Oryza sativa Japonica Group: one gene and its partners. The main gene of each other region encodes a partner of the protein of the gene in region 2 in a complex. Links are inferred from orthologs where the notes say so. Each region holds a gene or a part of one and is shown on either strand. Other genes may lie near its edges.

Region 1 (8,105 bases), on a different chromosome or scaffold from region 2:
CTAGTTATAATAATTCGATTCATATCTATACCTATCAACAAAACAACTCAAATTTAACTTTATTTCACAATCCATGATTACATACCTAACTAATTATATGTATGGATGCTATATACCTAGAATCAAAATCTAACAAAAACAAGTTCAAATTCAGTACAAACATGCTTTGAACTAGTTAGTAAAGTAGTTAATGTTAATACCTAAGTAATTGAAAAAGTTTCATACTCATTTGAATTGGGTATATACTCAATTTCAACAATGGTGCCCGGACACCATGGAGCACCAAACAAATTTACTATATATATATATATATATAATCTTTATTCTTTTATTTATATATGTATGTAAGAAAAGAAGAAGATATATATATATATGCAATGGTCAAAGAGAGCGGGAGAGACAGGGGATGGAGGTGATGCATGCGTACATATCCATTCGTTGTGATCGATCCTACTCGATCAAAGACATGCGATTCTGATTGTGACTGTGATTGGGATTTGGAGGTAGCTGTTATCCACACGCATTCGGATGCACATATATATATGACTCGATCGTGTGTCCAGATAATAAACAAGATAAGCTACTGCATGTACTGCTACTACCCTATGTTAATTGTACGAGTATTACGTATGGACGGTGCCAGGGGCACACATCTTCATTCATGATTTCATTATATGGATGATATGCATGCATGTTGCTTACTGGAATACTTATATATACATCCGGACACGTAGGTCTTTATATACACATCATCTTCATTTAATTAATTAGTTAATTGATTGATTTGATTTCATATATAATCATATACAGTATGGGGTAACTTGTCTTTCGTCGTATATTAATTCCTAGATAGCTACGTAGCTCGATCGATCAGCGGCTGGTCGGCGCCTCTCGAAATCAACAACAACGTATAGGTAGGAGTAACTAAATACTACTCTCTGTCCCAAAATATTTGGCGCCGTTAACTATTTTTTAAAAATATTTGACTGTTTGTCTTATTAAAAAATTTAAGTAATTATTAATTCTTTTTATATTATTTGATTTATTGTTAAATATACTTTTATGTATACAAATAGTTTTACACATTTCATAAAAGTTTTTAATAATACGAACAGTCAAACATATTTAAAAAAAGTCAACGTTAAACATTTTGGGAAGGAGGGAGTAGTATATAACTAATTATCTCTGTTTTGTTTCCTTATAATTAGCTGTTGGTGCATGATCAATCGCCCGATCGGAGGGTGAATCCGATCGAGCTAGTTTGGTCTACAGCGCGCGGCTGGATGCATCATATCGATCATATATATCGGCATATATACGTACACACACTCCGACCCAATTAAAGAAGCAGAGCAAGGGAAAGCGTAAGGCATAGTTAGTTTTCCGAGCAAAAATCATTCAGCAGCCATACAGCTTTTCCGGTTAAAGAAGCAGAGCAAGTGTAAGGTAGTAGATACAAAGCACATATGAGCTTGACATGCATGATTCTTTGATCATCACGTACTAGTATAATGTAACGTAACGTCGTATGATTGATCCGCTAGCTAAGCTAGCTGGTCGTTATTGCGAACCACAAGTATATACTACGTATATAATCTGTCATATATATGCAGTCGTAGCTAGCATATATTAACGGTTTTTCTTACAAAAAAGATAGCATATATTAATCTGTCATACTCATAACCATGTCAAGTGGCGAAGAAATTAAAACAGATATTAAGTAATTGAAAGCAAAGCGGCCGCAATTAACGCAACAGAACAGAAGAGGGCCCCGCGACCGCGAACGATCGAGAGTAGAATGTCCAGGTGTGTGGAGCCTAGCCTAGCACAAGGCGTACACACGAACAGGCCGGAGAGGATGGATGGAATCCAAGCCAAACAAAAAAAAAAAACATTCCTTCCGTCCGTTGGCCGTTGCAAACAGGTGCTCCGTAGTTGTAGAAGCAGACGAGACACGGCAGGCAGGCAGCAAGCTGGTAGAGCCAGAGCCCAGCCAGCTGCCCTGCCAGTGCCCGGGGAGGTTAGGCTTTGTTGTTTGGACAGAGTGGCCGTGCGATATGATGATATGATCGATGCAGAGAAGAAAAGAAAAACTGCCTAAACTTGGCATTGGCATTATTAGTTCGTTGTTTATGGTTGGAAGAGCGAGAGGCAAATCCAAGAAAAGCAAATGGCAAAAGATGAGCTAGGATATAAGAAGCCCATTAGCACTATTGGATTGGATCGGATCGGCGGGCGGCCTCGTCCTCGTCGGGACGACGGCAGACAATGGCCGCCGCCGCGATGATCCTCCCATTACTATTGCTATTGTGTTGGTTTCTGCTGCTGTCTGTGGGCGACGCGATGTGTTGGTTCAACGACGACGCATCAGCATCGGCACCAGCGGGGTGGTTGGTGTCGTGGACCAATGGGATGGGTTGGTACAAGGGGATGCCGCGGGAGTTCGTGGACGGCCACAACCAGCTGCGCGCGCGCTACGGGCTGCAGCCGATGAGGTGGGATAACAAGCTGGCGAGGCAGGCGCGGCGGTGGTCCGACGCCATGCGCGGCGACTGCCAGATCCGCCACTCCACCGGCAACAGCTTCGCCGAGAGCCTCTACATCGGGAGGAACGGCTGGAACGCCAGGGCTTCCGACGCCGTCCGATGCTGGGGCGACGAGGAGCACCTCTACGACAGGGACACCGGCAAATGCACCGCCGGCGTCGACTTCCACGAGTGCGGCCACTTCGCCTTCATGGTCAGGCCCAACTTCACCAGGATCGGCTGCGCCCGCGCCGAGTGCTTCAACGGCGGCGTCTTCATCACCTGCAACTACTTCAAAGACGAGCAGCACCAGCCGGCTACCCCTCCCACCTACTCCTAATATGCTCTTCTTCTCTTCAACAACTGACCTGCCTGCCTTCCTCATTCATGTACATTGATACAGCTGCACAAACAATACAATACAATGGAAACCAAATCTTCACTCACTGAGTCACTGTGTCTGTGTTCGTGTTCAACAAACATGCATCACCCATCCACCACCACATAAAACCATAACATTCTTCTTCATGCTCGCTCATCCGCTTGCTGGACTTCCTCGCGTACGTTAAAGAAGTTCACTCATCGGCAACACTAGCACCCACTTCTTCACAACTTCTGGGACAACACTACATTTAGGTTTAGCTTACTACTAGTAGTAGTACATCATTCATTCGTTTCCATTAGTGGATCACGGGCTTCAGCGGGTGCGCTCTCAGATTCGATAGATCCAGCCTCGCATCCAGTTCTTCATCCACCTCCCCCACCACGCTGCTGTAAATATGCATCACCCACGGATTCAACTTCAGTTAGGCACACCACCAAACAAAATAACACATCCATAAACGACCTCCATGCAGGTAATTAATAAGCAATAAACAGCTCAAACGACAATTGAGGAAATAGCTTACATGTTGTCGCCCCTTATGATGTACAACCCAAGAACAAGCTGTTGCACTCCCTCCTGCAGGTACAACACATTTCTCTCATCACTACTCAAAATTTCAACTGTACTACTAACAGCACATGCCACAAACTAAAAGCATGACAATTTAAAGGCATTGGCCCCTAGTCCTTAAGAAGGCATATCCCATATTCAATAGAGAGGTGCATGATACGAGACATATAACTATTCATAGTCAACATTGCCTGCAAATTGTTAGAACAACAACTCTGCACCATAAAGAACAAAGACATTCCAATACCTAACTATTGAAGACAAAAAATAATATGACTTCTGAAAAATTGAACGTGCACAAGGTAGAATTAATCGAACCAATCCTTGAAGAAAAAGGTGCTGTTATGACAAATTCAGCTAAAACATGTTACAGTATAAACTCATTATTTTGCAGGAAACGAACTTCAGTTCATACTGACAGTAGACATGATGATAGATACGAACAGTCAACAATATGAACTCATTACTTCATGATGACATTTATAACCATCATGAAAGAGAGCCATCTTTGAAAACAATCTGTGTTTAGCCATAAAGGGTACTGTGTAATACATGTTGGCAACTAACTTTCAAGCACCATGAGAGAAACTTATTGCTGATTGCAGAATTCTGCACTAGTGAACCAATGAGAGCATTTGACAGCAAACCAGGGAGAAGGTCACAATTAACAAGGACATACTGGAATAACAAAAAAAAATTGTGTGGCTGAACTTGTAGCCTTAGCAAACAGGCAACTCTATGGAAAATGCCAAACAGACTGTGGTAGAGATTCTAAACGCAGAAAAATTTAGCAGAGTAACTAACTGTAAGTATGACCGCCTTGTAAACATAACTTTATGAAGATGGAAGTAAAGTGTGTGTTGCCGGATTATCAGGGCATATAGTACTAGCTTAGTGAAATATTGATATTGCTGTAAAATTAATTGAAGGTTTGCAAGATAGCATGAAAGAAGCGTAGAAAGAGTTGGGAGCAACCCTACCCTGGTAGAATAGACCCTCTCATGGGACTCATCGAGGATGATGTTGGTGGCTTGATCGAATCCTCTGAGTGTCCCCTGACGAAGCGGAGGCAGGGCAATTCGAGTGAGTATTAGCGAGAGCCAAAAAAAACAAAAAAGGTGTACGAGTAGATCAAACAAGGGGCTCACCACAATGTTGCGGCCATCGTTTGTGATGACGGATATGATCTCTGGAGAGAAAAAAAAAACATCATCTATCACTAGTAATAGTAGGAGGAGGAGAATCTTGGGTAGCTGGGTGAGATGAGATAAAAAAAAAAGAGGGATGAACTCACGGTCGACGAGCGATTCGAGCCCCGGGCCGGCGGACGCCATCCTGTAGTTCAGGTGGAGTGGGGTGATTGGGGAAGCCGCCGCCGCCGCCAAGGGGATCGCCGGAGTTGAGGGGATGCGGCGACGATTTGTGTTTTGGAGAGAAGAAAGAGATTGAAAACCCTAGCTCAACTTCGTCTTTGGAGTTGCCGAGCGGGCTTTTATATGGGCCATCAAATGCGTGGGCGGGCCTCTCCAGCCCAGCTAAGAGAAGCCCAGCCCACCATGAGAGATCCTTCTCTGCTCCCCCTCCCGTCGTCATCGCCTCCCCAAATCACATCACATCGCGTCGGAGAATCCCTCTCCTCCCGTCCCGCCGCCGCCGCCGACGACGACGACGACGTCCAGCCCTCCTCCGTAATCCCCCACTTGTTGGTGAGTGACTGAGTGGTGACCAACTCTTGCTCCATTGTTTCTAAGATATTTTCTTCTCCCTTGCCCTACCTGTTCCTCTCTCCAATCCAAATCTCTCTTTCTAGGACGGCTGCTCCAATCGATTTTATTGCTCATGTTTTTCTTGGGTCCTTACCAGCAAAATCTTATAGATCACCCACCTATTTTGCTCTCCTTGCTTACATCTACATGTAAGAAAAAAAAATAAACAAACATAAAACACTGCACCATCCTGTAAGGAACTAGCCCCTGCAAACAAGCTAATCATTGACGAGTTTTATGTTAATGCGACTTGCTAGCTGCTAGGGTTTTTGGCTAGTCTTCGCCGTTTTTTGGGTCACGTTGGTTCTCCACTATGAAATAACACTACAGCAGCACAAAAGTAATGCAGTAATAATATCTTATAAAGCCCAAAGAAACCACCTTACAAATTACAAATCTACAAGCACGCAGACGCAGGAATTTCTTTATGTAAATACTAATTTGTCAGTTGCCTACGTGCTACTTGAAGATGCAAATACTGCACAACAAAGACTCTAGTGTACATAAATTTATAGATCTAGTCTTCTTTAATCCTTCACAAGTGCATTTTTCTGTATTTTACCAACACATGCGCATAATGTTTTCATTCTCATATGCACAAAGTTCTAAAGGCAGCTACTACTTTCAGACTACAGTACCTTTTGTTCATCTCAATTGGCATGCAGTACACTTCTGACAACTAGTTACTGATAACCTATTATACTTCACACTTGCTTGATTTTGTTCTATGTCCAATACTTTACTGTCCTTTTTACTGCCTGTTTTAGGGCCTGCACCTTGTGGTAGCCACTCTTTAATCAATGGAGAGCACAGAGCCCCTACAGGTAAACTCCTCACTTTGCCTTCTAGTGTTTCTGCAAGTATTGGTTTTTTCAAATACCGAATTTCCTGTTAGTGTTTAACTGCGATGATCGGTTGCTGTTGATTTGAGATCATGATTTAGCTGCTGCAAGTTCCATCTAAAATGACATTATGGGCTGTTTGGTTGGTATCAACACTTTGCCAAAAGGATAATTGAGGTTGTCTTTTGTGGTGGACAAATTCTCAACTATTCGCAAATCTTGCCAAGTAATTGAGTGTATGACAAGTGAGCCAGCTGGTTAAAGAAAGCCTGACAGAAAATGGCATTGGTAGTACCATGTTAATGGGCTGTTTTGTGTGTAATATGTACAAAGGCCTGAACCATGTTTGGACCAGTTTTTCATCGTACATGATACAAAAAAAGAAAAAAAAACATAGATGTCTCTTTTGTATACTAGGCAGTTTGTTTCTTTATGTTTTAGTTCTTTTCAGAAAACTGGGATAGAACTTCTGTTAATCTTTGCCTGCACTCTAAAAGGCCAAAATATTTAGCTAGCAATTTGTAGCAAGAAAATCTTCTGATAAGAAATGTAGGTTGTGTATAGTGAGCTTTCAGTAGTTCAGTGAACTGAGTTAATTTTCTGTTGCAGTGCATGGTGCTTATTGATCTATCTCAAATTAAGATCTTGTGCTTATTCAGAATCTTAATGACCTATATATTTATTTTTGCCATCTCATTTATCTCTGCTATGATATAACAAGGTGTTGAGCTTCTATTTAAAAACAATCTCTCATGTGTTTGTCAGGATATCATGTGCGAGTTTCGTGCGGGTAAGATGTCCCTTGATGGAACACGAGTGATCCCAGACACACGCAAGGGTCTTGTTCGCATAGGAAGGGTATGCATGCTAAAAGTCATACTTATCTTGAATTGAAGTTCTGTACTTCTATTTGTCCAGTATAACTTATAAGCCATTTGCATTCTCATATTTTATGGGGATTTGCAGTGCAGTTAACATATCCACTTGTTTGTAGGGTGAAGAAGGCTTGGTTCATTTTCAATGGCTTGATCGTGGACAGAATCTAGTTGAAGTTGTATCCTCTCGAGCATAGATAGTAGTTAGTAGTCATCGTGCACTCATTTTTTAATCTGCAAATACTGTACTTGTATGACTCGTATGTTTGAACTTTGAACTTGGCTGTGTCTGTTTCTCCTGATTTCCATTGTGTATATCCTAGGAAATTATCGTACTTTTGTATATCCTTGATTCCCTTTTCACAGGATCAAATTGTCTTCCCTGAGGAGGCTGTCTTTGAGAAGGTATTGAATATAGGTTCAAGTTTATTTTCTTCTGCAAGACCATCTTAGTGAACCTCTTGGGCTTCATTGATGATTGTAATTCAACTTAATCAGGTAACACAATCTTCTGGAAGGGTTTACATCTTGAAGTTCAGGCACGATAGCAGGAAATTCTTCTTCTGGATGCAGGTCAGTTGAGTGTGTGTGTGTGTATCTGTTTGAAAACCACAGAAGTCCTTCCACCAGCTAAAATTTACTTGTGTTTTGCTCTTTACTGTGCAGGAGCCAAGTGCTGATGACGACTCACAAATATGTCGCCAAGTTAATGCCTACATAAACCGACCATTAGGTATGCTGAACGTTGGGATCTCAACTCTTAATTATGCGCTCATTTTTCTTGTGTCTTAAGTTGTATGGGCGTGCAGATGGTGAGGCAGTTTCTATTGAAGCTGAAATGTCACATGAAGACACAGCTGATGATGACATCTCCTCCAGGTAATTTTAACGAACTGCAAGATGCAATGTGCAGCACAGAAAAACCTAGACGTTTGCATTGCAATCTTTATTTTTCAATGGGGCCGTCAGAGTAACAGATGGATGCACGTTCATTATAAACCACAAGTATATTCACTCCAATTTCATGCATAAGTTAACACTATCTATGTCTAGCTGAGTTTATTGTGCACTGCCTTTCATTCTTCCTATTTTCACACTGATATTTTTCCTGCTAAATATATATGAAAGTGTGGCCTCAATTT
Region 2 (8,149 bases):
CCCTTCACCTTCTCCACGATCTTCCCCCGGAGCGCCTCCACGGCGAGCGGCGCCCGCGCCTCCCCCACCCCCACCCGCTTCTCCTCCGCCTCCGCCATGCTCCGGTCTCCGCCCCCACCGACGGCGGCAGATGCGGATGCGGATGCCTTCTCCTGCAAGCTTTTGCCCTCCTCCTCCTCCTCCTCGCCTCGCGCCCTCTTCCGTTGCTTGCCTTTTTTGAAGGGGAGGTGAGGTGGCTGCTACTACTGGGGCGTAGACCCGGTGCATGGACCCGGGCCCACTGGAGTGTGAATGGGTGGTGGGGCCCAGTGGGAGGGTGCACCAACACCGGGTCCACGGATCCACGCGCTCCCCACCGGGGGGTCCTCCTTTCTCGCGTTCGCAGCTGGCGACAAAACCGTCTTGCCAATGGGGGGAGAGCCCAGCGCCAGCCGGTCAACCACGAGTGACTCGGTTGACGGTCTCGTGAGAGGCTGACAGGTGGGGCCAGATGGTCAAGTCGAGTTGACTGGAGGGCCCACCTGTGTACAGTGTATACGTAGTAGGTGCATTGGTTGATCCACGCTTCCACCTATGCAGACGCATAATCCTCATGTAATCTGTTACTCCTAAATAAAAGAATATACGGAGTATTCATCTCTTTCGTTAATGGTGGTTATTAGTATCTCTTTTTTTTTCCTTCTCGACGCAATTTTTTCGAAGCTGTTTGATTCGTGAAGAAAATGGAGAGAAATTACCGGAACGTCTGCTTAGGCTGAGTTTTAGGGGAGAATATTGAGAGAAAAAGTGCCTCGTTGCTAAGCGTTGCATTTTTTTAAAAAAAAATCTATACAAAAGTTACTTAAAAATATATTAATCTATTTTTTAAAAAATAAAATAATTCTTACAATCTATTTTTAAAAAAATTAAAATAATTCTTACTTATAATTAGTTATATGTAAATGCATTCGGGCTGGCCGTTCCGTTTATCAGGGCAGCAGTTGCGAGAGTGGTCTACAGCAAGCAAGGTGTGACCATCACACGACATAATTTGTGCGGATCGAATTAAAATGACGCGCTGCTGTGAAACCAATTATATGAAAAACGTCTGCGCAAACACACCACCATTTTATGGTAAAATGGTGCGACTGTCTGAGACTTAATTCCTCCCTCCAAAAAAAAAACAAATCTAAAACATGTTAGACATTCTAGTACAACTAATCTGGATAGAGGTAATGTCTAGATTAGTAGTCCTAGATTGTGTAGGTTGGTTTTGTATGGTACTGAAGGAGTATCACTCAATAGTGAGAACATTGAAGCAGAGAGAATATTGAAGCAGAGAGAATATTGAAGCAGAGAGAATGCTCGTGGTCGGCATATGCGCCTAGGTAAAAGAGCACTCCAAGCAGCACAATATAGATATACTATTGCTGAACAATCAAGAACATTACCTGGCTCTCTGCGATGAACAGGTCAAAGTAATAACCACAATAATATTCAATATAGTCGAGGGTCCAGACATCAAACAAATTGTTTCGAGACAGGCCAACCGCTGCCTCTTCACTGGTAACTACTGAACCCATGAAACATTTTTCGGTCATACCACAAAATGATAAAGCAAAGCAATGCTTACTCCACCAGTCCATTCTTCACCCTCCTAAAGCAATCTATGTGACACAAAGCCTTAAAAAAGCGGCATTCCCACAAGTGACCTTCCCTCTCACCCACGTCCGCGGCCCCCACCTGCCATAGAGTACAAGCAGATTGGTTATCCCCTCAAAACAAAATACAAACTACTTTGGCGGTATAGTAGAGTCTAAATTCAAGCAAGAAGCATACCTTTGATGCCACCTTTACCTCCAATTCCTCCCCTTCCACGGCCACCACCGCCTTTGCTGCCACCATCATCCTGGCCACGCCCAATGCCTCTGCCTCCAGGCTTAGTACCTATATCACCTCTTCCTCTTCCGCGGCCTACACCTGGTGGCCTCCTATCTGCATTTAGAAGAGCATAGGCAATTCAGCGTTGAACTTAACTTCAAAAGATGTTCAAAAAGGTGAAATTCTCTAGTAATCAGAAAATCAGAATAACCATAATACACCAAATATAAGAAAAGAGGAACACGAGGGTTTCATGAATGACATCAACAACACTATAGATGTAGGATACTGCCTGTATCAATGTGCATTTACAGATTGATTTGATACTATTTACACTGTAAAGCGTAAACATGCAATTCATCGCTAATTTTTGAAGTATAAGTTACGTTATGTTTGTTGAAAATTAAGAACCAGCCCAAGAAAAGAACTGCAGTCGCATTACTACTTGCACGCATAAACGCATTTGCACTGCCACATACATTCAACTGATAGCACTGCCGCATATAATGTACTTCTTACTAATAAAAATTATGGGTTATGACAAAATACATCTCTTGGAAACTGAATAAGGTCAATTTTTTCTCCAATAATGAACTGGAATAAGGTTCAAGCAAAGGCAACTAATAGCACAAAATTATGATTTAAATATTTCATCAAGTTCACAGAAAATATTAAAACATCTAAATAATTACAGAGACAAATGTGATTTATAACAGCTGGAACCATTGGGTACATACCTGATCTGCTCTTTGAAGTCTCTTCCTGGACCTTGTCAATCACCTGTCATAGAAATAAATTCATGCATTTAGGATTGGAAAGCACAGGTAACAATGACAACGCTGGTGTATCATCATCATCATCATGAAGGTAAAACAGAAGTACATAACATATGCTGGAATGTCATGAAAAGACAAAAATAATCAATCGAAATCAATCAATCACAACCTTTCCCCATTTGATTCCACCAACTTTCTTAATACCCGTGCCCAACCCTAAAACTCATACTTTGGGATGGAGGTAGTATCAAGAACATCCAATTAGCTATTTGACCTCTAAAAATAAAAATAAAGAGTAATACAACAAAATGAACACAAGAGATATCTAACAAGAGATGAACTGATGGCCCTGTTCTATTTCAGGAATTAGTTGGTGAATGAACCATACGATCCTAACTCTGAACTTAACTATTTGGTTGGGAATGTTAATGGGTTGGTCCACTCCATCTCATCCCTCAAAAGTATCAAGTTTTGTAGAAAAATAAGGAAACCAACTAAATTGTGGGATGGTCCCACAATTGACCAACTCATCGTAGGATTGTTTGATTACTCAAACCAGCACATGAGGAAAATGCAATCTAAATCTCAGTGGTACAATAGTCCTATTTATGTCTGTTTCTTAATCTTAATCTCAGTGGTAAAATATGCAGCTTAAGATTAAGAATAAGGATAAAAGGCTGTCTAACTCCAGAAGATCGGGTAAAAAGTATTCTACCTCTACCATATCAATTTTCGATTGTACTTCCAGAATAGGGATTGAAAGGCTGGTTAAATTCAGAATTGATAACAAGTGTGGGCATATCCTGGCTCAATACATTCCCATTTGTGCTTTGCTTATAGATTTATGGGTTAAAAGTACTAATAACATTTATATCCATATGATGTAAAGTCAGCTACATCTATATGATGTGACCTAGGAGACATATATACTTAGGCCTACTATCCAGGTCACGGTTATGTGATATTTACTTCTCCATTATCTGAAGTTCTGAACTATTTTCAATGTTCCTTGGCTGTGGGAAAGTAGCTTTGCGTACAGCAGAGTTGGAACATAAGTTTTGTCACTATTCATAGCAGGAGAATTGTTTGGTGTCATATATCAGTGATTTGAAATCAAGAAAATTTATCAGCCCCTCGTGGATAGTTAACAGATAAAATGCAGAGTGATTTGCACGTAATCATATTAAAATGCTCTGCTTAGCTTAAGAGAGGTCCTCATCTGCTCAAATCACTTAAAAACACCATAAGGCAGATATCTTAAATGGCATCAAATAACTTACATATATCTAACGTGAGAGATTACTCAGACAAAACAAGAGACACACTGGCACCCATAAAGATCTAAAAGGGAAAACAAAACTTGAAACTGAAAGCTGACCACAAAAAAATTGCACACGACATAGTGATTTTGCTAGCAATTATGGTGATGAATGCTAACAGGGAAAAAAAAAGGCTGATTATGCAGATGGAGAACATACATGTCTAAACATACAACCAGCAAACCACAAGCACATAGTAAACAAGGTTTAACATGTTAAAAATCCATACCTCATCAGGAACCCGAAGATACTTGATGGTGTTCCCACGGATGTAACATTCTGGCATCCTCCAAAACTTATCACCATCCTGCAATGACAACCATAAACAATGAGGAAACAGCATTCATCACAAACTAAACGATCAAACCAATTGGAACCAAATGACCCAAAAGAGAACACACAATTCGAACTATAAGTTCCTACTATCTGTCTATCTCCACGTCAAATTCCAAAAAAAATATGAAGACTACTTTAACAAATGGCTACTCCCTATTTTCCCCAAATCCAAACAATGCCACTAATCTTTTGTCCCCACTAAAATCTACAAGCGAAGTGGGTCGGGGATGCGAGATTTCACCTTTGAGGTGCAAATAACCTCCCGGAGGTGGATGTTCATCCACGTGTCGCAGTTCACCAAGTGCCCGTTGTACGTCTCGCCGTTCTTAAGCTCCACGAGCTAAAAAAAAACCACACAAAAGTTTCAAACCCTAGCCGATCAGAAACCAAACCAAACAACCACCACGCACAGCGCGAAGCGGCGGATCTTCTCTTACCATGGGATGCCCCTGGGCGGTCTTGAGGAGCGAGAGCGGAAGCTGCAACCACAACACAAACACAGAATCAGACACGGCCGCATTAATTTGGGGATCGAGAGGGTACAGATTGAGAAATAGAGAGAGAGACGAACCATCTTGCGCTAGATCCGGAAACAGCGATGCCGGCGGGGGAGGAGGAGCAGATCGTCGCCGGCGCGGGGAGGAAGGCGGCGGCGGCGGAGGCGGAGGCGGCGAGAGGAGGGGGGATTCCGGGGGGTCAAAACCCTAGTCGCCGCCGCGGGCTTGTTGGGTGGGGAGGCGAGGCGAGGGGGGAAGAGCTCGCGAGCAACGAAGAAAAACAAGAGAGGGTCCCGGACCGAAAGAGTTATGTACACGTGTCCCAAATAAAAGTTCAAGTTGTTATAAACCGCCTATATATACGAGTAGAGACTATAAAGAAAACTGCCGTAATTTTAAAGGATAAACTTTCAAATCTTGTAATTGTAATATAATTTTACTCTAACTATAATATAACTTATATATAAGTATTGAAATAATATATATAATTTTTTGTCTAACTTATATGGTGGTTATAATGTAGTTAGTGCAGTTACATTTTACAATGTACTTTATACAGAGATTACGATATAGTTTCTTATAGTGTAACAATATTGTAGTTACACTATAATTATACTATAGATATTTTTTTTCCAAAAAAACTTGCGACAGTATTTTAGTAATTCTGATACCCGGTATACGACTCCTTTATCCTTTTCAAAATTAGGCATATATGGTCTATTTCCTAGAGGAGAAAAACTAAAGTCCCTCAAAATAATTTTTTAAGGAAATTGTAAAAAATACTAGTACTACATTTCCAAAATATAATTTTATTTGTACATAGAGATTATAATTGTTATCAAGTCATACGACTAGTCACGATTTTAGTGATAGATTAGTTGTAAAGTTGGTCAAGCTAATCGACTAGAGAACCACGTCTCGTCCAAACAGCAAGTCGTGGTTCATCGTAAAGTCGGTTGCGAATTATTAATTCGCCATGCTAATTAGCTTGTTGTGTTTAATACTTTAGTTTTATTTCTTGTTGATTTATTGTCTTGCTACTATAGATCATAATTTATACTTTATACAATGCTTAGTATAGTATAATATTAGTAAAGACTATATGTTGCATCCCTGTTTTTGCATGGGCAAGTCATCAGCTAGTGATGGACTAGTTGACCAATCGGTCCAGGGTACCTCGACTTGATTTTACGAGTTGGAAACCATGGAGATTAAGGTTAAAGAGAAAAGATTTCGATGTCCAATATCAAGGCCTAGTTTGAATCTTCAACTTAGTTTAGCTTTTTGGTGGCACTCAAAACAGGTAAGCCAATATCATATAATTAATTGAGTATTAATTACCGTAAAATTTAAACTTAAACTTATTTGATTTTTTTAAATAACTTCTATATAATAAGTTTTTGTAAAAGAAAACATTTAACAGTTTGAAAAACATGTTAAAAAAGATAAAGTTGCATTTTAGAGTTGAATAAACGAATGCGGCTTAAATAAGATATGGTTAGGGGCAAGAAAGTGGTTAAGGAAGAGATGGAAAGAAATTTTAATGGGAAACAATTAAAATAAGTAGTACTTTATACTTTATAGTGCTAGGAGTGTTTATATTTTAGTGCAAACTACAAATGTTGGTGGTTCTTATATTTTGAAACAAAGAGATAGTTCAAAATATATCATTTCGGTTTATCAAAATTATAAAAGTTGGTTCTCTTGATCATAAATATTTGACGTTTGTTATAAGATTTTGTTGATCATCACATAAAGACAGGAGTCAAAAATTTGTGTCTCGTCTCCTCCCCCTTCAACATCAGCAAATAAATGTCTAGGTGATATCACACTACTTTATACTACATGTCATGGGTTGTTGACACTGCATTCTGACCACCAAAGCCCATTCAAAAATTCCCTTTGATTCAGAATGCAGTATCAGGTGTGAGCCAACTCAAAAGGTAGCACAATCTTGATGGCGCATACGTGTGAACCAACTCAAACAGAGGCACAGCACAATCTTAGCATTGCACTCGTTGGGACAATCAAGTAATTGAACTAGCCAAAATTCATATAGCTAGCCATTGATTGTGCAAATAATGAAATATGGTGCATGGCGGTTGTAACTTTTACTGTGTAATCCACTCACTAAACTATGAGAAGTGAGAACACATGAAAAGAAAGTAATGACACCAAGTTAAGTAGTAAACTGCAAACCGTGTAACATTTGATATGACTTAATTACAAAATCAAAACAACAGTACTCCAGTTAGGACTCTAAAAGAAAACATATTCATATTTTTCAAGGGACCATTTTGTACAGTGTGTGGTCCTAGCTTCAAAGACTTTCCCTATCCTCTCTTAAAAAGGGGAACTAATCATGTCCCCTTTCCTTGGTGCATAAAGTTCCTAGGTACATTGACTACACACAAAGATGAAAAATGACAGCCCAACCACAGTTTGGTGGCATTACCAAATGACTATTTTACTAATTGCACATAACATGTGTTGTTATAGGTAGCTAAAGACCACTTCCATTAACCCACCTTGAATTGATCCTCTCAAACATGGGTCATTTTCACCAAATATGCAATCTTTTATTTTTGGGCCCAAAAATGTTCTTTTTTTCAAAGTAACACTGATTAAAAACTGTCCACCATATAGTGCCTGATCTGACCCAAATAAAATGAAATAAAATAAAATCAACTCGGAAATGACAGCTCAACTCGATAGACGCCGATGTTTCTTTTCTTACAAGCTGGAGTAGCTTGTATGCATGAATTTGGCCTAGATCATAGCTAGTACTAAATTCTTTTCCACAACCTAATTAATCAAAGAAAAAAAATTTCCCTTAAAATTAATGATCATCTGCCTCCGCCCACAGAAACTATACCCAAGCTAAAAAATCTATCAAACATATCTGCTTATCCTAATTGGAATATTCAAACAAAAATCATTAATCATGCAGATAAGCAGATAAACAAAAAACTGAAGCAAAATTGCAAGCGCCAGTTAATTTGCATGCATATAGATACAAAAAAACATAATCTTGATCACTTTAATTTCACCCAAGCAGCATAGCAAACAACACCATCCATCCATTAGGACCATTACACATCTAATCAATCAAGCATGAGAGGCATGCAAGGACAACACTGAGATCTTGACAGCTATAGCATATAAGCTCAGCTATGATCAAGGGGACACTGTGCGTGTGTTCTTGCTGCGAACTACATGGCATTGGATTTAATTTCATTAATTAGCTAGCTCGGTCGATCGATCGATCGATCATCCCCTGCACTGGGTGATGGCGGAGCAGCCGCGGGAGTAAGGGTTGGCCTCGGCGCCGGGCTGGCAGTTGTAGTAGGACGCGCCGCGC
Region 3 (8,172 bases), on a different chromosome or scaffold from region 2:
TTTTCAAGTTTATAATAATTAAAACTCAATTAATCACACGTTATTACCACATCGTTTTACGTGAAACACTTAATCTTTATCTTCATCTTCATCTTTATCTTCAGGAAATTCAAACACCACCTTAGTATCCCAATTTAGCTCTATCGGTTGTCTCTCGCTTTAGGGTTTCTGCCGGTATCGGCTAAATTGTATTACTAGATTAGATTAGCTAAGGCATCTACCATCCTGAAAATCAGTCAAAGGCTTGATTGTCTCGATATTGTGTTTCTTTTCATACTTAGTGTTGCTTCAGTTAAGTTTGATCTACTAAGTCGTGCTTAGAACCATAATCTCTAGCCTGCTTGTTGACTGCCAATAAGGGTTTCATCGGGGTTTCAGCCGATGAGTTATCTGGATGTTGCATCGGTTTACAAGGATTGCATATAAGTTCGATTTAGCCGATCGCAACAAAGATTTTACTGTTTAATCTAATCTTGTGGATTTTATAACATCGGATCTCCAGCCGATGTATTCTTTAACCTTCAGATCAGTGCTTATTCTATCATATCATTGTTAGCCGATTGGTTTATACTGGATTAGATTGTCTCAAGTATCAGAATCTACATTGGATATATAGCTGATAGCTTCAAACCCTATTGCTATCGGTTGGTACCGGCATCAACTGGAACTACTCCATCGGCTCGTCAGTCGATAAGCTCATTGATCTGCTATTTGTATATCTTGTCAGTTGCAGGATCAAACTGACTGGCACGTCCGCATCTCACCAACCTTTGGACCTGCACTGGAGCTAAGCAGATATCCCAGGCCGTTGTGTTCATCAACTTAGTTTGCGCCAACACAGATCCGGCACCACTGGCCGAGTGCGGATTTTTCGTCGATAGCCGTGGAGTGAAGCTTCACTTTCTTTTATTGGCCGCCACCATATAAAGTAATAATTCGTGGAGTGAATGTTCACTTTCTTTTATTGGCTGCCATCATATAACTAATAATTGAGAGTGTCAAGCAATAGGGTGTCATATAATTAATAATTGGGAGTGTCAAACAATGGCGGTGCCATCATATAACTAATAATTAGGAGTGTCAAGCAATGGCGGGGTAGCCAAGTGCAGATTTTTCGTCGACAGCCGTGGAGTGAAGGTTCACTTTCTTTTATTGGCCGCCGCAATATAAAGTAATAATTCGTGGAATGAATGTTCACTTTCTTTTATTGGCCGCCATCATATAACTAATAATTGAGAGTGTCAAGCAATGGGGTGTCATATAATTAATAATTGGGAGTGTCAAGCAATGGCGATGCCGTCATATAACTAATAATTAGGAGTTTCAAGCAATGGCGGTGTAGTGGCGTTGGTGTGACATTTTGTGACGGTGTGTGAAGTAGCAAAATAGACAGTGGCGGATCCAGGATTTCAAAGTTGGGTATTCCCGTCTAAGCGCTGAGCCACTGGCCGCCCCTGCCCCTCGCGGCCGCCGGCCACCCAACCGGCCTGACCGCCTGAGCTTGGCGGAGTGGCGGGCGCCGGCCGCCGCCCTCCACGGTAGCACGGTCCAGCTCCCGCTGCCGGTTACCTCCTCGCCGCGCCGCCGCCTAGGTATGGGGAGCGGCGCGAAGGAGCCGAGCCAGGGAGGGATGGGTCACGGAGGGAGAGTGAGAGGGGGCCGTCTAGAAGAGTGGTGGCTAAATGGGTCAACTGATGTATGATAAATGGGTCATGACGGAGTGGGTCGGGTTGGTAGGAGGCGTTGCAAGAGGCCGGTTGGGCTGTGTATGGATCGAAGAATTGAGGATTTAGGTGCACTAATATGTGTACATGTGTATATACTAGAAGTATACTTGCTTTTTGATAAAAAAAAATAAGTTGGGTATTCCCGGGAATACCCAGGAATCATGGTAGCTCTGCCCATGAAAATAGAGTTGATCGTATGCGCACCCTAACTAACATAATCACACGGAAGTGTCAAGCAATAGCGTGTCATATAACTAATAATTGGGAGTGTCAAGCAATGGCGGTGCCGTCATATAACTAATAATTAGGTGTGTCAAGCAACAGCGGTGTAGCGGCGTCGGTGTGACATCGAGTGACGGTGTGTGAAGCAGCAAAATAGAGCTGATCGTATGCGCACTCTAACTAACATAATCACACAAACCATTCCTGAAGTCCAATTGTATACAAAAATCACACGATGTGTGAAGCAGCAAAATAGAGCTGATTGTATGGGCACCCTAACTAACATAATCACACAAACCATTCCTGAAGTCCAATTGTATACAAAAAACCGTAGACTCGTACGATGGCACCCCAAGTCATTCAGTTTAAGTTCCTTTTACTGCCAAAAAAAAAAAGTCACTCATGATGTTTAAGTTTCTTTTACTGCCACCCACCCGCCCCCACCCCCGAAGTCATGATGTTTAAGTTTCTATTACTGCCAAATCACAGCGATATGCTCCTCACCCACCCACCCCCACCCCCAAAGTCGCGAAAATATATTTGGTGCCGTCCATTACCAAGAAATTTTGTACCGTACTACCGTCCATTACTTGAGGGAGCTAAGAGCGGCTGCCATGGGTGTAAGATAAGCTACGGTCGTTTGCAAGATGCAGAGAATGAACGGATGGCAGAGCTTTAGGGTACAGTGACTGTATATCATGATCGCCTCAGATTAAATACAGTATTTTTTTTCCTAGTGGCACATTATCTCATAGAGAAGGCGTTAATCCCAGATTTAACATAGCTCCTAGGAGGAAAGAGACATGTAGGGAAGCATGCAGCAAAAAGATTATCAAGTCCAACACTGCTGAACCACAAATACAACAATTGTAGATATGCTCTCCATTATCAGGTTTCTTCAACCACCTAGTGTTTACTGAGTCAGGTTGCAGAAGAATGGTAATAAACAGCTACAAGAGGTACCTCATACTTAGCATTGCCAAATCATGTAGGAGCAACTGTTGCAGGTACACTACTTCAGGTCAGTTAACTAAGAAAGTTCAGTACAGCCACAAATGGAAGAAATACATTTGAAGTAAGGAAACACCGGTCTGTGCCTCCATCAGCCTCAAGCAGGTATATCACGGAAGTGCTTGCTTATGCCACATCTGGGGGAGAACCACCAGGAACCAACTGTATAGGCCAAACAAAAGATGAAATAGCGTTAGACATAGCAGGTCACACCGAACTTTTACCAAACCATTCATTACAAGTATTTGATCAAGATTTCTCACAATAGCTATATTGTTGCCGTTTAGGAGTATCTGATCAAGCTTTGTTATGCGACGGCCTTCAGCAGTGTATTCACTATAAAACAATCAGAGGATCATGAAACAACAAACATTAGACTATAATTTCATATTGAACATATACATATGCTAAATGTGCAAGTGAAAAAAACTAATAAACATCAGTATGGTTTTGCTAAGTGATTTCCTAGATGATACATTAGTTTGGCAAGGGTGATGGTGGTAACTTCATATTCAGCTAATAGGAATAAATTCCACCATTAGGTCCAGCATTTTATTAGGGGACTAGTGAAACATTGCACATCAACAGATCATATAGATTTCAGTCATGGTATATAATCAGATGACACAAACTCTAAAACACGCTCACTTCAGCCCCTTCTGCAAGATGGCTCAACAACCATCATTATGTTGCAGTATATGTTTGTGATATTTTTTGTTGTTAGGAAATACCTCTCTTTTTAAGAACATAGTTACAACATCCACATGTGCATTCTACAAACTACTAAGATACTGAATATGAATATTTCTAGAACTAATTCAGGTATAATAGAACATTGTAATATCGGGGAAAACAAAGTAATACATCAACACCTGGGAGGACTAGTATAAACTTAATGCAACAATTGTGAAGAGCTAGCACAAAATACATGATGCATCAGTATAACACTCATGGAAACCTACTGCCACCATCTGCTAAATATCTTTAGTCATTTTTACATGACCAATTCCCTCCTAGCTATCAACTATCATTCTGTCCTATACCACAAATAAATAACCATATAAATCATGATGAAAAGAGCTTGTCTTCCCTTCCGCGAGAAATAATATTCCCAAACAAGACAATACTAACTACAACGATGAACATGTTACTGCAGCAGAAATCCTACAAAACAGTGTGTTCCACTGCTGCAGCTTCTTTGGAATCAAGCGTTCATATCAGTTGATCTTAGAACAGACAGACTAGTGATTGCGTTACACCTTAAGTACTAAACAACAAATAAAATCTTCAGTTATATTAAGTATACTGAATTACTGATAAGAGCAGCAAATGTTATAATTATGTAACTTCATGAAACCAAGTCTGTGTGAGTTAAATTGAAGCACACAATGGGTTAACAATCATGACATGAGTACTGAAAGGATCAAAAATAGCTTGCACTATACCAACTATGATGATTGGTAGTATAATACAAACTCATGTTATACGAAATCTGCCTGATGACATGGAGGAAAGTAACCAACAAAGCAACAAGGTAGGAGCAATCTGGCATAAGGTGGGCAATATTTCTGTACTTCAGTTCTCAGAAAATCAAACAATGTTTTCTAAATATTTTAGCTAATTCCAATATCAGCACACTGAGACACAAATGTGAGAAACTGAGCTAAACTAATCTAAGAATCTAATCAGAAGAAACCGAAATTACCCTACGACTGTGACACCAAAATTACCCTACAAGAAAAAAACCTGGCGCGGAAAGTAGAAAAATAAATAGGGTTGAGAATTGGAAGATTTTTCACATACTACTCAGTAACGTCCTCGAGCACCATGTTGACGTACACATCGAACCCACAGAGAGTGCCGACGAGCTCCTTGTCACCCTTCATAATCACCCAAATCTTGGACCCGATGCAGCGGTCAATCAGCTCTGCACAAACCAAAGCCCGCAAGAACTGAATCAAGAACTCGAACCCCAAAAAACAAAATCTATCTGGAACAAAGTTAGCAAGCTAGGATGCGAGATTTATAAGAAACTAAAGCGAAGCTTCTTCCGCGCACCTGAGGGGAGGAGCTGGGAGGGGTTGTTCTGAGACATGGCGGCGGACGCCCTCTCCGGCGGAGATCGAGGTGGAAGCGGCGACGGGAAGGGCGCGCGCGGCTACGGCGGAGGCGATGCAAGAGTAGCGGCGCTGCGGCGGCGGAGGCTTCTGCTTTGGGTGGAGGATTCCAACTGCGAACGCTGCGCCCTAGCCGACTCCACCCACGAGACGTATTCTCCACCGTCCGATCGAGCAATCAGCCGTCGATTAGATATCACACTTTTTTTTTCTTTTGCTAGGTTTCAAGCACCATAGGAATAGGTCAACTTTAACTTCCTTATAAGTGACTCGAATCTAATCCATAACCCTCAACCGTAAAATCAGATAGGGTGACTCTCCGAACTATTAAAACCAGTGCAATTTGATTCCCTTCGTGGTTTTGGAAGGCGATTTTGCTGATGTGGCGCTGACGTGGCAATGTTGACATAGTCTTCGTCCCACGTGGCGCTTACGTGGCTTAGAATTAAAAAAAATTATTTGTGGAACCCATATGTGATTCAAACAAAAAAAATGACATGTGGGAATCGGCTGGTACGACGGCGCGGCGAGCCTCCGACCAAGCGGCTGGGATGCCGAGAGGCGGAGCGACCGGCATCCCGTAGAGCACCAACCCATTCTCCGGCGACCCTCCATCCGTCCTCGCCTGCAAGAGCGAGTGCACACATTAAAACACTCTTCGACTGAGCTCGTGCAGAACCGAGCTACGGGAGGATGATCACCTTGATGTCCTGCACAATGAACGAGTTCGTCTCCACGAGCCTCGAGCAACCTGAGCCGACGACGACTAGCTCCGGCGAGTCGTGGTAGTACCCCAACATCAACGCCGCCGGCGCTGTTCCATCAATGTAAAGGATCAAAGCGAGTTATAGCACTGAGATATAGTATGTGTTGTCAACAAAGACGATCTTAATCAGAGATTCAGAGTAACTAACCCAAAAAACAGAAGGCGAGGAGGGTGACAAAGCCGAGCGCCGCCACCGCCATGACTGTAAGTCATGTACCCTTCACCGGCGCTGGACTGACAGCAAGACGACGCGTAAGAGAAGCTATGAATCCTTGAACGGGTCACGGCCAAGGGGGATTTTGTGGAATCGGTATCTTAGCTGATGTCTCCCCCTTTTCTCTTCACCTTCTCTCTCGTGGAGCAATCGACGGGCAGGGACGGCGACAGTGGGTGGGAGCCGAAGCGGCGGCGGCGGTGACAGGCGGGAGGGCTAGGGGGAGGGCGCTGGAGTGTGTGGCGTGGAAGCTACCCCCTTCAGCGGCGGGGTGCGCGGGGGAGGCGTGCGAGCACGCTAACATCCCTCCGGTTCTTCTCGAAAGTCGGAGCAGGGTTCCTCCCTATCTCTACCATCTTCGGCGGAATCCTGTCGGTCAATTGGTTGTCAGCCAGAGCAAGCTGCTACAGTTCCGCCGCTACCGTCGCTTCAGCTCTCGCCGGCCACCACCACTCTAGCCCCCGCCACTGCCACTCCAGCCCGTGCTCCCCGTGGCCGACCGAAGGGGGGAGAAGAGAAAGAGAAAGAAAGAGAGAAGGGAGGAAGAGGGGAGGAAGAAGAAAGAGAGAGCAGGACATGTGGGTGGCCCCACAATTTTTTTATGTGTGTGAATGACAAACGGGTCCCACATATACGTTTTTAATTCAAATGCCACCTAAGCACCACGTCAGCGAAACCGCCCTCAAAACCACAAAGGGAGTCAAATTACACCGGTTTTAATAGTTCGGGGGCCGAGATATCCGGTTTTGCGATTTATGATCATGGATTAGATTTAGGTCACTTTTAGGGGAGACAAAGTGGACTTATTCCACGAAAATAATATTATTGATTAGTTGGGCTTATTCATTCCAAAGAAATATAAGTTGGGCCTAAATTCAAAAGATATAAATTAGGCTCAATTTCGAACAGAATTTATTAGTCGGCCTCTCTGACAGCCTTGGCCCAATTGAATTATTGGACAAAGCGGTGGGCCCACTGAAAACCCAGCCCAGATGGCCGACCACCGATGTGGTGATGTGGCCAGCACCAGCACGACACCGCACCTGACCAAAAAGCCCAGTCACATCCGCCCATGGCTTAGGCCAGCCCGCGCCGACGAGCTCCTCTTCTCCTCCCATCTCCACCACGCGCCTACCCGCACGCCGAGCTGTCGCCGCGTGTGCCCCCGCCTCGTTCCATCGCCTTCGCGTCGCGCTGTGCCCACTAAAACAATCCGGCCAGTTAACACTTCACACCCCCGCGCCCTCTCGTCCCCCTTCCTACGTGTCCCCCTCCCTGATCAAGAACGGATCACCGGCTCGGCGCCCCACTCTCTTCTTGGATCGGGGAGCGGGAGAGGGGGAGGAAGAGGCGGCGGATCAGAAGATTTGGGCGGCGGCGGCGGCGGCGGCGGCGGCGGCGGAGGTGGTGTGGGTGGGTGAGTGAGTGAGGAGTGATGGAGAAGGAGAGGAAGATGGAGGGGGAGAGGAGGGTGGAGGCGACGCGGCGGTGGGTGATCGCGGTGGGGTTCTGGGTGCAGGGGTTCCGGCTGTTCCCATGGCTGGGCGTCAACTTCTTCCTCAAGGACGGCATGGGCGTCGCCGCCTCCTCGCTGCAGATCCTCCAGGCGTCCGCCAACCTCCCCATGGTCGCCAAGCCGCTTCTCGGCCTCCTCTCCGACGCCGTCCCCATCCGCGGCCACCGCCGCCTCCCCTACGTCGCCATCGGCGGTATGTATATGCTCCCACTCCCACTCCCACTCGTTCCTCTCCTCCCTTCCCCCCCTGAATTTCCCGTCCCAGATCCAGAATTCCTCTCACATCTCAACTTTGCGCGGAACCCGTGTCGCCGAATTGTGATGCGGAATTATAATAATCTCAAATCTGTTCGTCTTGCCTGGGCGCGCCTGGCCATCCAATGCAGCATTTCGTTAGAGCAGTATGTGAATAACTGAATATGCATAGCATCTCCATCTTTAGCATTAACCTCACTGCACATTCTTTTCTTGCATTTGTTTGGAGGCGCATCACCTAATCCTGTGGCAGCTGGCGACAATGGCATCGCCGCAAAGGATATGCTCTGATGCTCACGGACTTTGTCCTCTTGATTCTTCTCACCCTTTCCCTTTGTTTCGGT

What was found.
Region 1: probable U6 snRNA-associated Sm-like protein LSm4 (region 2) and sm-like protein LSM8 share a complex: the UniProt entries of both Arabidopsis thaliana proteins name them as parts of the heptameric LSM2-LSM8 complex. The link is inferred for Oryza sativa Japonica Group from reciprocal best matches to the Arabidopsis thaliana genes emb1644 and LSM8.
Region 3: probable U6 snRNA-associated Sm-like protein LSm4 (region 2) and sm-like protein LSM5 share a complex: the UniProt entries of both Arabidopsis thaliana proteins name them as parts of the heptameric LSM1-LSM7 complex. The link is inferred for Oryza sativa Japonica Group from reciprocal best matches to the Arabidopsis thaliana genes emb1644 and SAD1.

Annotation. Positions count from the first base shown.
Region 1 is NC_089039.1:29,806,480-29,814,584, reverse strand, and holds sm-like protein LSM8, read right to left. Parts: upstream 4,948-8,105; 5' UTR 4,815-4,947; coding exon 4,775-4,814; intron 4,670-4,774; coding exon 4,629-4,669; intron 4,536-4,628; coding exon 4,461-4,535; intron 3,487-4,460; coding exon 3,434-3,486; intron 3,297-3,433; coding exon 3,206-3,296; 3' UTR 2,946-3,205; downstream 1-2,945. Other genes in the region: pathogenesis-related protein 1, read left to right, coding at 2,269-2,865; 26S proteasome regulatory subunit RPN13, read left to right, coding at 6,047-6,070, 6,854-6,946, 7,083-7,142, 7,330-7,368, 7,462-7,536, 7,630-7,696, 7,773-7,842. UniProt on the Arabidopsis thaliana protein: Component of the nuclear LSM2-LSM8 complex which is involved splicing nuclear mRNAs. LSM2-LSM8 binds directly to the U6 small nuclear RNAs (snRNAs).
Region 2 is NC_089035.1:8,581,301-8,589,449, forward strand, and holds probable U6 snRNA-associated Sm-like protein LSm4, read right to left. Parts: upstream 5,117-8,149; 5' UTR 4,866-5,116; coding exon 4,863-4,865; intron 4,771-4,862; coding exon 4,729-4,770; intron 4,632-4,728; coding exon 4,533-4,631; intron 4,263-4,532; coding exon 4,185-4,262; intron 2,641-4,184; coding exon 2,598-2,640; intron 1,975-2,597; coding exon 1,819-1,974; intron 1,723-1,818; coding exon 1,700-1,722; 3' UTR 1,402-1,699; downstream 1-1,401. Other genes in the region: zinc finger CCCH domain-containing protein 4, read right to left, coding at 1-98; rapid alkalinization factor, read right to left, coding at 8,059-8,149. UniProt on the Arabidopsis thaliana protein: Component of LSM protein complexes, which are involved in RNA processing. Component of the cytoplasmic LSM1-LSM7 complex which is involved in mRNA degradation by promoting decapping and leading to accurate 5'-3' mRNA decay.
Region 3 is NC_089039.1:18,937,026-18,945,197, forward strand, and holds sm-like protein LSM5, read right to left. Parts: upstream 5,202-8,172; 5' UTR 5,056-5,201; coding exon 5,019-5,055; intron 4,888-5,018; coding exon 4,764-4,887; intron 3,297-4,763; coding exon 3,224-3,296; intron 3,123-3,223; coding exon 3,087-3,122; 3' UTR 2,809-3,086; downstream 1-2,808. Other genes in the region: probable folate-biopterin transporter 7, read left to right, coding at 7,493-7,766. UniProt on the Arabidopsis thaliana protein: Component of LSM protein complexes, which are involved in RNA processing. Component of the cytoplasmic LSM1-LSM7 complex which is involved in mRNA degradation by promoting decapping and leading to accurate 5'-3' mRNA decay.